2 linked regions of the Bombyx mori genome follow. The protein of the gene in region 2 interacts with the protein of the main gene of each other region in a pairwise test. Links are inferred from orthologs where the notes say so. Each region holds a gene or a part of one and is shown on either strand. Other genes may lie near its edges. The genes, in order: retinal rod rhodopsin-sensitive cGMP 3',5'-cyclic phosphodiesterase subunit delta; ADP-ribosylation factor-like protein 3.

Region 1 (6,768 bases), on a different chromosome or scaffold from region 2:
TACTATGCATTAAGTTTTAGATCTAAAATACATCCACTTATTAATAAATTTTGATAATTTGTATTCTAAGAATTACCTGCTTCTAGGGGATACAAAAATCACAATAAGGACACTTTGAAGTAAAAATTCGAATAAAATAAATGCACCACACCAATGACTAGTAAATGCACAAGTAGATTTTAAGTATCATAGATTAAATTTAAACGATTATATGAGTCGACTATTATCAAAGGCGGCAATCTGACTTTTGGACAATGATTGGTAAATCAGAAAAACGAATTATTGACTTTGTATTCCATTGGCAGTCACAAAACTCTTCGGAACGACATCTTAGATAAATAACAGGTTAACTATTAACCTTTATTTAATGCAGGTTTTGAACCGTATTCTTTGAAGGAGACGATTATATTCAAATAAATCTGTATTGACATATCAATAAAAAATTTTTGTCCAAATGTACAGATTGCCGCCTTTGATAATAGACGACTCATATATAGAACAGTCGTACTCTAGAGGTTGTGATCAGCAAATCTCCATCAAAAAATTTCGTTTCGATAACCACGTTCCCACTGAAAATAGAAAATTCCATAATTAGTATATAATAATTCGTAATTGCAAAATATTTACACATTAATTTAATGCCAATTGCATTTTTTTTGGAACAGTTTTAAAATTTCCCGCCAAAATACTTGAGCTCTGGTCTGACGTTTGACATATTTAATTAGTTGTTTGGAGATCAAGGGTTCTATCCAGGATATCCCTACTGGAAAACATTCTAATTTATCTTGGCAGCGAAATAAATTGTAATCTGATCCTTGTAACCAAGACTTAAAAGTGGACTATTAACCCTAATAAAGAAACTGGCAATTTGGCAGTTTTCACATATTCAGGTGTTATGAATTCTAATTCTATTTATATATTTATAAAATTAGAATAATTCCAAAAATTTTCTTCAGCCCTAGTGATAATTTTACGCAACCAACTCATGTTCTCAGGTCTCGGAGTGGTAGTATTAACATTTAGTTTGAGGTTATTTGGGGCTCTGGTAAACAAGCAACATGATAAATGCAGTGTACCTAGCCTAATGGGTGCCGCACTTTTTATCTTACAATAAGTATGTACTAAATAAATGCAAAACTTTCGATTAATTAGTAGTGTAGATAGGCTGTACTATGATTCCGCTCAGGTAAATATCACCACTCATATTTCTACAGAAAAGCTCCCATATCTGTCGATATTATACAATATGTAACAGACATAGGTCACATGTTTTCAGGTTAGTCACCACAAGCACTTCATAGTGTATTTGGGTTTCAGTATCACCTAAATGTGAGCTGTAGCCTCATCTGCCCATCTATACTAATTTATATTGAAATTTTATATACTATCAAACTTACTTGAGCACATTGGCCGGCATCATTTGCGATTCAGGCGCTGACTCTATAACGGATTGCCAAGTGTTCGTTGAGTTCGGGATCACATAACCAAAATCGAAAAACCACTCTTCTAAACATCTCCCTTTGAAGAGTACTTTCTATAAAAAGAAACATTTAGTTTTTTTTAGTGTTCAAATCAGTTATATATTTTCTATTGCTGTAGGTGTGAGTAGCTCAAAATCCATGTGTTATTAATGAAGTTAGTACCGAATTACCAAATAATAAAATGTTTATCTATGTAAAAATTATATTTTATATCTAATTAGATTGGTAATGTTATATTTAATTGTAAGTGTACTACCAGTTAAATGCAGGATTGGATAGTTTAAATTCTATAATTCTGTGAACATATTAATTCAAGTCAATTAAAATAAACTAGATGAATGAATTATTTTTGAAATAATATGATATAAATATGGAGCAAAGCTTGGATTCAGACAGTTCTAAGTTGTCACATCTGTGGCCAATTATACTGATAGATGCTGATGGTGATGTTATTTTAACAAGCAAACATTTCACACTATACAGTCTAAGCCAGAAATTTCTCCCATGTTCTGGATACCAGAAACATACATATAAGACAGGAAGATGTATACTCAATACTCAGATTCGAATATCAGTTTGATAAATATAATTCCACCTAAATCAAAACTATCATGACACTTTTTCTTATTCTTATTCTTGCCTTTATACAATGATGACCTTTTTTCCATTCAGGTCTATCATACATCATATTTACCCATACACACCCTTTTCACTCATATGGACTTGGAGGGAATGTGTGAAAGGGGTTCACACATTCCCTCCAAGTCTATTTATGACGTCCCCTCCTTTAAGCATCTACTGAACACTAATCAACACTGTCTAGTCTATCTAACCTACAACATACTGTTTTTAGTATTTCTGACTCATCGGCTACATAAATAATGTTAAATGATGCTTGTAGTTGGAAACTAATTCTACTTTAATTGCTTACTATCTTAACACTAGCGACCCGCCCTCGCTTCTCTTCGGAAACATTAAATTTTATTATTGACTGATAGGCCAAGCCAGCCATGTAGCGCGCGGTACGACAATAACTGCGGGAGACGCCGCGGGGCGAAGCTAGTGTAAAAAAAGTTGTCTAAGTTACTCCTTATATCATCAGCTACCTATTAGTGAAAGTCTCATCAAAATTGGTCCAGCCGTTCCAGAGATTAGCCGGAACAAACAGACAGACAAAAAAAAATTATAAAAAATTTTATTTTGGTATATGTACCGTATATATATTCATATGAATGTAGTAAAAAGCTGTTATTTCAATACTACAAACAGACACTCTAATTTTATTTATATGTATAGATGTACCTGTTCTAATCTAAATCTATCCATGGATTCTATTGAGCTGAAGTTCATTTCACGAGACACTACTCTGCACTTGAGAATTCTTTTGGGTACTCTTGCTTCGTGTTCCGCATCTGGACTTGACATGTCCTCATTATGTTGCCAAAGAATTTTTCCTGAAAAAGAATTATTAATAAAATAAATATAAATGTGCAATAGGGGAAAAATTATAACATTGCTGTTACTTAAGTATCTAAAAGTAGTTTGATTTTTATTTAAGAAACTTCATAAAATGAGAAAAAAAAATTGCCACGCTTTGCTCGCCCGCGATATGTTATTACAGTTTTGAGTATTATTATTATGTGTTGAGTATGTATATTTTATACAACAATCATCAGCAGTCTGGTGAAGCTACTTGTAGGATTTTTAAATACTAGAAAACATTTAATAAATCTTGCTCCTGGAGTGGTCTCATAGACATCCCAATGTAAAAACAATTAACCACCTTGGACCCAAGATTAGTCATTTATTTATTTATTTTAATTTTTCATTCACATCAACTATAGCATCATATAACTTTTAATTATATTCTGTTGAGTATATTTAAAAAAACAAACAATGATATACACAATCAGTAACTGACTTGTTTATCTTTGGAAATTGCATATCTAATTTACAGGCAAAACAAATTCTACTACTGATCTTAATTTTAATATATTTCAAACGTTTTTTTTTCAATGACTAGATCTTTACCTGTGTCAGCATCACGAAGATTCATCCAATTACTGACGTTGCAATGTTAAAAAATTATTGACAATTGTTAAGTAAAACACATTGAAATGATGAATCTATTTATTTTTAACGCTGTTTATAATCAATTAGGGATCACATGTTAAATACATCAATTGAGGATGTATTATTTTTACATTTTCAGGTACATTTTCAAACTTTAATTGTGGGACTATTGTGGGAAACAACAGCATAATCGTGGGAAGAAATTCATTCCAAAAGTGATGCACGGTACAAATGCTTAGGTACTGAATTACTATGGAACAGCATTATGTTTGCAGACGATGGGCCTAATAATGCAAAAATACTTTTTAAAAGAATAGGCAGGACTTGGTTTAAAGTCTCTCGACAGTCGGGTAATCATCCAAAAAGCAAAAAAAGGTGCCCTGCTAGACGTAACGCCACGACTTACTCGTCAACTATTCGATTTTAAAGGATCTCAACTCACAATGGCATTAAGGGCAATATAAGAAAAAGAACATATGTAAAGGATACATTTGAAATCCCTTCAGAATAGTCTCCACACGATCATTTTTATCTCGTTCAGTTGTTAGAACGTCAGTCATATTTGCGAAAATAAAAGTTCAATTCCAATTTTATATGATTATGTTTTTGATTGCTGATTTTCTTAACAGCGAACTGAACTGTGTTTATTTTTCTGTCTAACAAAATACTCTAAACAATTAAGTGTTTATTCTATGACTCTAAATTCAATTACGAACACAATATTGTTCACATTCACATTGAAAAATGAAAACCACTTTTTCTGGGGTTTTTTTTGCAAGCTCCATAAATTAAGTCTATGGTCTTTTTTTATGACCTGGTAACATAGACCTTTAGGTTGTTTTTGGCGGGAACGCGAGGAGTGAAGTTGTGTGATTTGTTTTATTTTATCTATTTAGTGTTTCTTCAGGTTTAAATGTGTAATAACGGTGGTTTATTAACTGTTTGATATCTGTGAAAGTTCACAAATGTGGGAAAACGAAACAAAGCCACTGGACATAGCTTCTCGGGATCCTCTATAGAGATTAGTATTATTATTAACTCCATGGGATCCACCAATTAACGTCATCATATGACATATGACATAACATCATATGAATAGAATGTAAATAGAATACAAATAGAATGTAATGAAATAAATGAGTTCAAAATCACTGCGGTCTTAATGGGACAACTTATTTTCCATAGTACGAATATTTTGGTTTTTAGATTATTAATTATTTATTGTAATTAGTGTGGTTTATTTATTGTTTTGATATTTTCTCTGATAATTAAGTAATATCAATGAAGTTACGACTGTCATGTATGTTATTTATATTATCGTAATAAAAACATCATCAAAGACCAAAGTATGGGACATCAACATTGCGGCTGCTATGGTCAATTTTTTTGAGAAATGCTCAGTAACTAATATTTTAATCTGTGAACTACTACAGAGCATTTTCCAGAGTCTCAGACTATAAATTTCAAATTTTAAATTTATTTTACAGTAATTCACAAATGTCGATTCAGTCAAACAGGCTTTTTATATGACAGCTTCAAAACGATCTTGTGCACATCAATATCAAATCGACTAAACCACAAAATCGAATCAACGATTGTGCACTTTCTTTGCCAAAAGATACAGTAGCCAATGGCCGTAACAAAAAAAAGAAAATTTCACAAAAATCTCAATTTGTAATTTTGTACATAGGTACCTACATAAAACACAATAATAGCCAATAGGTAAAATTATATGTTGTACTATGTAAATGTTGTTTGTTTAGTCCAAGAGGTGAACACAAAAAATATTTCTAAAATTTGTACCCTGCTAATGTTTACGTTATCACCGTATTTATGTAACTGGCCGTTTGAAATCACTACAGGATTATTAAGAATTTTCTATGAACCCGAAAAGCGAGTCTGTCGAAGCTTCGAGGTATGTATCTGTTTTATTATTTCACTATATTATTAATATTTAAAAATTCACATCACGTTGACCTTTAAGATTACCAAAATATATCTAAATTTTATTGTATTTGTTTCGTGCAGAAACAAAATGTTGATAGGGGTTATGAAGCATTACTTGCTATTTTAGTACCTTCCTTTAAGCAAAAATAAAGTGTTGTTTGAAAATATATTTGTTACGTTTTGTAATAAATATATGCATTACTATTGTTTATCATTCAGGGGGAGCGAAGCATCATCATCATCGATAAATTCAACCCCTGACATTGTTGAAGACCAGCTAACATCAGGAAATATTATGAAGCGAGCCGCAGCCAAGCAGTTAATTGAAAAATATTTTTATCAACTGCTAGATGGTTGTGGCAATGTTAACTGTGATAACAGATATTGTGCATCAAGTGGGGCGGTAAGTAATGAATATATATTTTTTTGAAATTAAACTAACCACCGATTTGGTGAATATATTCAAATATTGTATTCAGATTTCTAGGTATAAACACTATTGTTAAAACAGGCTGTATGGAAACACGAAAGTAGGAATACACCAATCGACTGCCCTAAAATAAAAATTGTATTGTAAATACCAAATACACTATTCATTTGCAAATCTAAGCATAATTTATTTATTTTATAAGTACTTATTGATAGTAAGTACTATAGGAAGTTCATGTTTTGTCAATAGTAAAAATCATTAATACATTTTAAAATAAAACTAACAAAATTATTGAACATAGATCAATGTAGAGCTGAATATAAATTTTGTTTCACTAAAATCTGATAACACTTGAAATTGGATAGATTAGATAGAGTTTTGTAATTGACATATTCCGTAAATTTAAATGCTTGTTTTATAAAAAGTGATTACTTGGGTTCATAGTATACATATATTGTATTTCACAAACTTATAAACTGTTACAATTCTGGCTGGTCATTGAATACTCAGCTTTATTGTTACAGTCCAACAATCCAATTTCACTATGTAATCTCAAGAATATGAATTTGAATAGATATATCAAAATCCATTTCATAATATATATATAACAAATACCTTATCATGTAATTGATAATTAAAGTACCAATATTTTCTGGGATCCTGATGAATTTCTAACGTCAGATATTGAAATGATTAAAAATGATGCCAATTTATGAGTTCTTATGGTTAACATAAAAAAAATATACATATATGGTTAGTAAGTTGTCTTATGAAATCACACGGGTAGATATCACCATCCAATTTTTTTTCCATGTGGCTGTAATGTGTCCCTATTTG
Region 2 (6,768 bases):
GATTACTTTTGAGACATTCATCAATTGGGATGAAATTAAATAAAATGAGATGATATGGGATGAAATATAATCTCAGTAAAATGGTGGTAATTTACTGAGATTTTTTCAGTGGACTTTTTGGAGGATCCCGAGAAGTTACGTCCAGCGGCTTTGTTTCATTTTCCCATATTTGTGCACTTTCACAGATATTAAACAGTTAATAAACCACCGTTATCACACATTTAAACCTGAAGAAACACTAAATAGACAAAATAAAACAAATCACACAACTTCACTCCTCGCGTTCCCGCCAAAAAGCCATACTGACACTTCATTTCAATTCTATTGACATGGTCAGTGGTACGGGCTAATCGCACTCAGTTTTCGGATTAAATATATAAAACAGATAATATATAGCCCAGACAAAGAGCAAACAAACATGCCCAGACAAAGAGCAAACAAAAAAAAAAAAGCCCGCTGAGTTTGTTTCGCCGGTTCTTCTCAGGACTGTGGCTTTTTTTTGGAACCGGTGGTAGAGTTAACATTTTCTTTTACATTTTGACATTCAACAAGTGTGTTTTTGATGACATCCAAGTTGAAATAAATGATTTTGAATTTGCTCGTCACATGAACATTCCCTAACGTGGGAATCGATCCCAAGACCCTTGGCGCAGGAATCAGAGGCACTAATCACTTCACCACAGTCATTCCAAATATTTGAACCATCAAAACCTTATCCTTTGGAAGGGCGCATCAAATCAAATGGTGACCATCTATCTAGCAGGCGACAGACGTCCACAACTGGACATAGAACTCTTCCAAGACTTACCACAACGACCTGTCAAATGAAGCCCGCATCTAGCAGATTCCCGCGACCTACACCAGTGTGTTTAGTGCGAGTTTTTTAACGTTCTCGATAGCGTCAAAGTTAACTCAAATTTGTATGGAGTTGGAACGTTTGCCTACGTTTGCCGCTAGGGGCGCTGTTCCAACTGCATACAAATCTAAGTTAACTTTTACGCCGTCGAGAACGTTAAAAATCTCACACTAAGCACACAGGTCGGTAATGACGATATTGTATAAATATAATAGACATTAACCTTAACTCCAGTACCATCAGTGGCCACACACGCTTGTATCTGCCAAGTCCTGTCTCTTATTAAGTGCAGACCGAGATGTTGAGCTATCTCACTAGCCGGTAATGCTGTGAATAAAAAAAACCCAACATGATTGTATCAGACATTTCTTCCCATGTAGATTTTGCGCATTTATTATTGCACAATTTTTTTATATTTTTTTTTATATTTCTTTTATGGATGGACGAGCTCACGGCCTACCTGGTGTTAAGTGGTTATCGGAGCCCATAGACATCTACAACGCAAATGTCGCTACCCACCTTAAGACATGAGTTCTAAGTCTCAGCTTTTACAGTGTAACGGCTGCCCCGCTCGAATTACTTCACGGCAGGGTGGTGGTACCTTTTTTTTTATTGCCTTTGTAGGCAGACGAGCATACAGCCCACCTGATGGTGAGTGGTTACCGTCGCCCATGGACTTCAGCAATGCCAAGGGCAGAGCCAAGCCGCTGCCTACACCTACCACCAGTTAAGATAGTGGAGTTGGTAATAATTTCGTGGTAGGCAGCGGCTTGGCTGTGCCCCTGACATCGCTGATGTCCATGAGCGACGATGATCACTCACAATCAGATGGGCCGTATGCTCGTCTGCCTAGACGGCACTAAAAAATAAAATAAAAAATATATAATTGTATTGTGTGAGTGCTTTATTCTTCTAATTAGAAGACATGACTGCTTGTGATTAAAATAGGCAAAACGGTGCCTATGAGTGCAGGCGTCCGATACGCTACTAGTATTAATGCAAATTAATATTTATAGCGGTATTTTATCACACAATGTCCTGGAAGTCTTTCGGTGAGCACAAAACAAATCACACCACTTCACTACCGCCAAATAGTTTATTATTTGTAAGATAAACTATCAACACAGATTACTTTTATAATTAATTGTAACTAAAACTACCAATGCAAATTACTTTAATGATTATTTAAAAGTGAAATTAAAAACACAGATTACTTCAAAAATGAATGTAATCAAATTATCTATACGCACCGGTCGCCAAGTCCTGTTTGTTGGCGTAAACTAACAGCGGAACAGCGCGCAACTTGTCATCCAGAAGCAGCTCGGCTAATTCTAGACTGGTCTCCTCCAGTCTATGGTGATCTGAACAATCGACCACGTAGATCTGTAAAGTTATTTTAACAGTTTTCTTTAATAGTCGAAGGCAGAGGTAAAGCTGGATCAGACATCCAAATGTATTACAGTTAAAAGTGAGAAAGCAAAACGCCCGTTGCCGATCTAACACGTTCGCGTGAGCAACGTCTTACAACGTCGTGTTTTTTAAATTATGAAATGGCGCAACGTCATATGACGGTCTCTAGAGTTTATCATATTTATTTTGTCCGAACGTCTTTGGACGTCTATTGGGCAAAATTCTAGCGCATCAACTTAGCGCCGCAACACATTCGATTTACATAGCCTTACCACCGCGTTGCCCGAAAAAAATCATCATAAGATGTACGTACGTTGTTAAGCTTTCTATGGGAAAAAGTGCGCCACAGTAGCAATATTCAGAAATGAGGTTGCTCACGCGAACTTTTTAAGGTTCTCGTATTACGATTATTGTTGGAGTTAAGCCGAGGCCTAATAAATAAGGCGCCCGATCATTTTTTTATGAAATACATATTATTATCTACTTCACACGTGTTCACGAGTGACGTCCACGATTTAGATATAAAATCGTATATTGAGAACCAAACCCGCAAAGATTATATGTTGCGCAATCACTGGTGGTGGGGCATCTTGTTAGTCTGCACGGGTAAGTGCCACCAGTCAGCCACCTATTTCAGTACACCTAGCTACCCTTCATTGTTCGTCTCACTTCCCGAACTAACTTTGAATAAAGCGTAGATATTGAGTGCCCATTTGTACCACAACCCTGCACAGTTTTGCTGCGCGACTACGTCCTGATTTGACGGATGACGCTTATGACCAATACAATTAAGAGTATATTTATGGCTGTACCATCTACAAGGCCCATGTCCGTGTGCTCTCTAAAAATTTTTTTCTAAAAATGTAATTTAAAATTCGTTATAAATAAATCAATAGCATACCAAAATATCGGTGTTCTCAAAATAATTCCTCCAATAAGGCCTGATCTTCCTCTGTCCACCGATATCCCAAACATTTAGCTTGAAGCCATTCGATAACACCGATTTTATATTAAAACCAGCGGTCGGGATAACGTGGTTCACGTCTTCCGAAGCCAATTGCTTCAATAGAGTCGTCTTTCCAGCATTGTCCAGCCCTAACAGCAGCAAACGAAGCTCTTTCTCCGGATTAGATCGCAGTTTCTTTAATATATCTAGCAGACCCTGAAAAAATTTACGAATGCAACCATATTTAGTTATTAATTTTATATAAGCGATGTTTAACGCCTTTCAACTTACCATAATTCGATATTGCTTGGAATTCAAAGTTTATTTATGGATCTTATTCGAAGTTGTGATATCAAGTCTTCATGATAATTAAATTCGTCTTTATTTACTCGAATTCAAGAATCGGTATATTTTTTTTTGTTATTTAGTAGAATTTGTTGACGTCCCTGTTGCTATGACAACAGCTTGTCACTTCCAACAAAGGAAAGATTTATGAAGTCAAGAGACCTATGCAGTGGCAACGTGACTCTTATTTAAATACATATAACTAACTTTTTGAGAACATATAATAACGCTAATGTGCTTTAGTCCGAACAATAGATATTAAAATTAACCACCAACATGAAATTTCCATTCAGTAACTAGCTTCTTAGCTTCTCCCAAAAAACTCATTGTGATCTAAGAACCCATCTATCACCATCAAGTGGGCCGTATTCAAGTTTACCTAAGTATGGGTTTTTTACATTACACTATTTAAATAATATATTTGGCTGTATAGTCTATACTTCTTTTGCCTGTCTAATAGGCAAAGGGAATACAAGGCAAGCAAACATCAACTTAATGTCATCAAGGACTAAACTACGCTTGTGTCTACACGTGTTGATAATTTTAACTTAAATAAGTTATAAATAAAAATCTGAAATTATGGGTAAAGTAAAGCAAGAACCGGTCGAACAGGAAGACCAGGCTGATGTCAGCATTAAAGCTGAACCGCAAAGCCACGATGAAAAAGTCGAACATTGTAGTATAATAGCGAAACCGATGGCCACAAAAAAACTCACCAAAAAGATATATAAACTTATTAAGAAATCGAGTAACCATAAGAACTATATCAGAAACGGCCTGAAAATCGTTCAGAAGCAGTTACGTCTGGGTGAAAAGGGGTGAGTTAGATTTCTCGAATTATTTAATTTCGAGGTTATGTTGATATGTGGTAACGAAGTTTTTCGTGGATTAAATTGTTAAATGTTATCTTCTTGGCTACTATACTCTAATGCTATAGTAATAAGTTCGATTTGGTAAATGTTGATTAACTTACCTTTTGTTACTAGTGTTGTTTGTCACATCGCTCGACATCAGAATTTACAAAGTTTGATACTAAATTCCACAGAAATCGCTATGTCTGTGTCGCCGTAAGGCACGGTCTAGACTTCTTCAGAACAACACTTTAATCTAAATACAAGGCAGGAAACCCAAAATTCTAAATATTTCTAATATATCAAACCTAGCCCCCTGTTTTTATTGGCCGTTGAGCATATTGTGAACCCGCGCGGGCTGGTACCATCCTGCCTATTGCTCTCACGAAGCATTCATACATTGCAGTACCTACCTACTACCTATCCTCTGATAGGTTAAAACTTCACCCACATATCTCATGGGCATATTCACACATATGATGTATGTGGAATAAAGTATATGGGCATTACATAGCTAAAATGGTCTTAAACATATTTTAAAATAAATAAAAAATCTGTATCACATTAAATAAATTTACTTAACCTTTAATAAAATGTTCACATTTCTTTTATCGACAGCATGGTTTTCTTTGCTGGAGACATTTCACCCATAGAAATCATGTGTCACCTACCTGCGGTTTGCGAGGAGAAGGACGTCCAATACTGTTACACTCCAAGTAGGAAGGATATCGGTGCCGCCATGGGTACAATGCGAGGATGCATCATGGTACTTGTCAAAGAACATGAGGATTATAAAGATTTGTACGAGGAAGTTAAAAGTGAAATAAAATTACTCGGACATCCACTGTAAATATATGAATAAGATTCTTATTTAGTTTTAATATTAAATAGTAAGACTTTCAAACGAATTAACAGTAACATTCTTGTAACAAAATCAGCTTAGAATTTTTTGTTCATTACAATATATTCCATAGTGACTGTTAAATACTAGACATGATAAAAATATACATTTAGGTAATTAACTTTATATTTTGTAATGTAACATGTAATTACTTCACAGGATCTGATATATTGTGTTTACACTGGTGAGTACAAAAACTAGACAAAACAAAAATAAATTTTCAATAAGTTTTTAATGACATTGTGTCCAAAATTGTCAGTACTACTTCATTCTCAATGTATTTTATGGTATTTATAGCTAGTACTAATGTGGATAGTTCCAAAAACAATTCTAAAAGATTTGGTTTTTTGTTTAAAAGTTTAGCGAAATATTCCAGAATTCACCACACACATGGGAGTAATGTGTCATTACTATGGAAACCAAGATATATTCACAATATTAAAAATTCTGTCCCTGTTTGAAGTAGACTAGACTGGAAATGATATATATTTGTATGTAAAGTTGTTTTAATGTGTAATTGTCATTCACCTAAAAGTATTGGACAGAATGCTATTAGATACAATTTTTTTTTTCATAACTCAGTTCAACAACTCTAATTACGTTAATTAAGATATAGAAATAAATGATAGAATAAGAATAGATTTTTATTACTTTCAGAAATTCTAAATATATATCCTCCTTATATTGTGATGCCCCTCATATAAGACGTGTTTTTCTCCGTGTGATGATACAGGGATGTCTTGCGCATTTTTGTATGTACTTGAAATATTTTTATATTTTAAGAAAACTCATATATTAGTTATTCATAAGAAAAATTGCCTTAATATCTAATTTAAATCCTCTAATGGGAATAGTAAATGTGTAACATTTTTAATTACATAATACATTGTATGGAGTCATTCAAGCACATTATAAGACAAGACTCCAACATGAAATCAATTCACCGTTTTATAGATGGGATTGTTCAAGATTATTAGATTTTTTTTTATTAAACAGCATTCCGCACTATGAATTGGAATGCAATGATTGCATAATTAAAGTCAAATTTAAATGCATAGAAGAATGAGAGCTCTGCTAGCTTCAACACAACTACATGTTAATAATTAACGGAGAAAGGGTACATCATTCACCTACCTTCAAACTAGTATTTCCTGCGGAAACCAGAGATAGTAATACATACTTAAATATGTTAAACATATTTAGATATTAAATACCCAGAAACGGCAAACAAACTTCTTCATCCATTATTAGAATTGAACCCAAGAGTTTTACGGGCAGCAGATTAGGGCAGTGACTACTTTGCCACAAAGTCAATTAAAAAAATAAAACAGCATTCCTGATCACATATACATTTAATACAATCTTTAAAAACTATGGGTACGTAAAAATGGCAGATTTTTGTCATTAACGACAGTGAACATTGGCAAAATACAATCATAATTTAAAAATTACATTCTAT

The links.
Region 1: the proteins of ADP-ribosylation factor-like protein 3 (region 2) and retinal rod rhodopsin-sensitive cGMP 3',5'-cyclic phosphodiesterase subunit delta interact in binary tests that used the Homo sapiens proteins (3 or more experiments, as listed by UniProt). The link is inferred for Bombyx mori from reciprocal best matches to the Homo sapiens genes ARL3 and PDE6D.

What each region holds. Positions count from the first base shown.
Region 1 is NC_085119.1:5,231,758-5,238,525, reverse strand, and holds the start of retinal rod rhodopsin-sensitive cGMP 3',5'-cyclic phosphodiesterase subunit delta, read right to left. Parts: upstream 4,189-6,768; 5' UTR 4,115-4,188; coding exon 4,044-4,114; exon of another isoform or gene 3,694-4,043; intron 3,545-3,693; coding exon 3,513-3,544; intron 2,936-3,512; coding exon 2,784-2,935; intron 1,535-2,783; coding exon 1,398-1,534; intron 570-1,397; coding exon 488-569; 3' UTR 214-487; coding exon of another isoform or gene 208-213; 3' UTR 1-207. Other genes in the region: ubiquitin-protein ligase E3A, read left to right, coding at 5,435-5,469, 5,721-5,904. UniProt on the Homo sapiens protein: Promotes the release of prenylated target proteins from cellular membranes. Modulates the activity of prenylated or palmitoylated Ras family members by regulating their subcellular location.
Region 2 is NC_085132.1:10,393,301-10,400,068, reverse strand, and holds the start of ADP-ribosylation factor-like protein 3, read right to left. Parts: upstream 3,678-6,768; 5' UTR 3,507-3,677; coding exon 3,504-3,506; intron 3,429-3,503; coding exon 3,168-3,428; intron 2,240-3,167; coding exon 2,107-2,239; intron 1,184-2,106; coding exon 1,080-1,183; intron 1-1,079. Other genes in the region: nucleolar protein family A member 2, read left to right, coding at 4,137-4,375, 5,027-5,258. UniProt on the Homo sapiens protein: Small GTP-binding protein which cycles between an inactive GDP-bound and an active GTP-bound form, and the rate of cycling is regulated by guanine nucleotide exchange factors (GEF) and GTPase-activating proteins (GAP).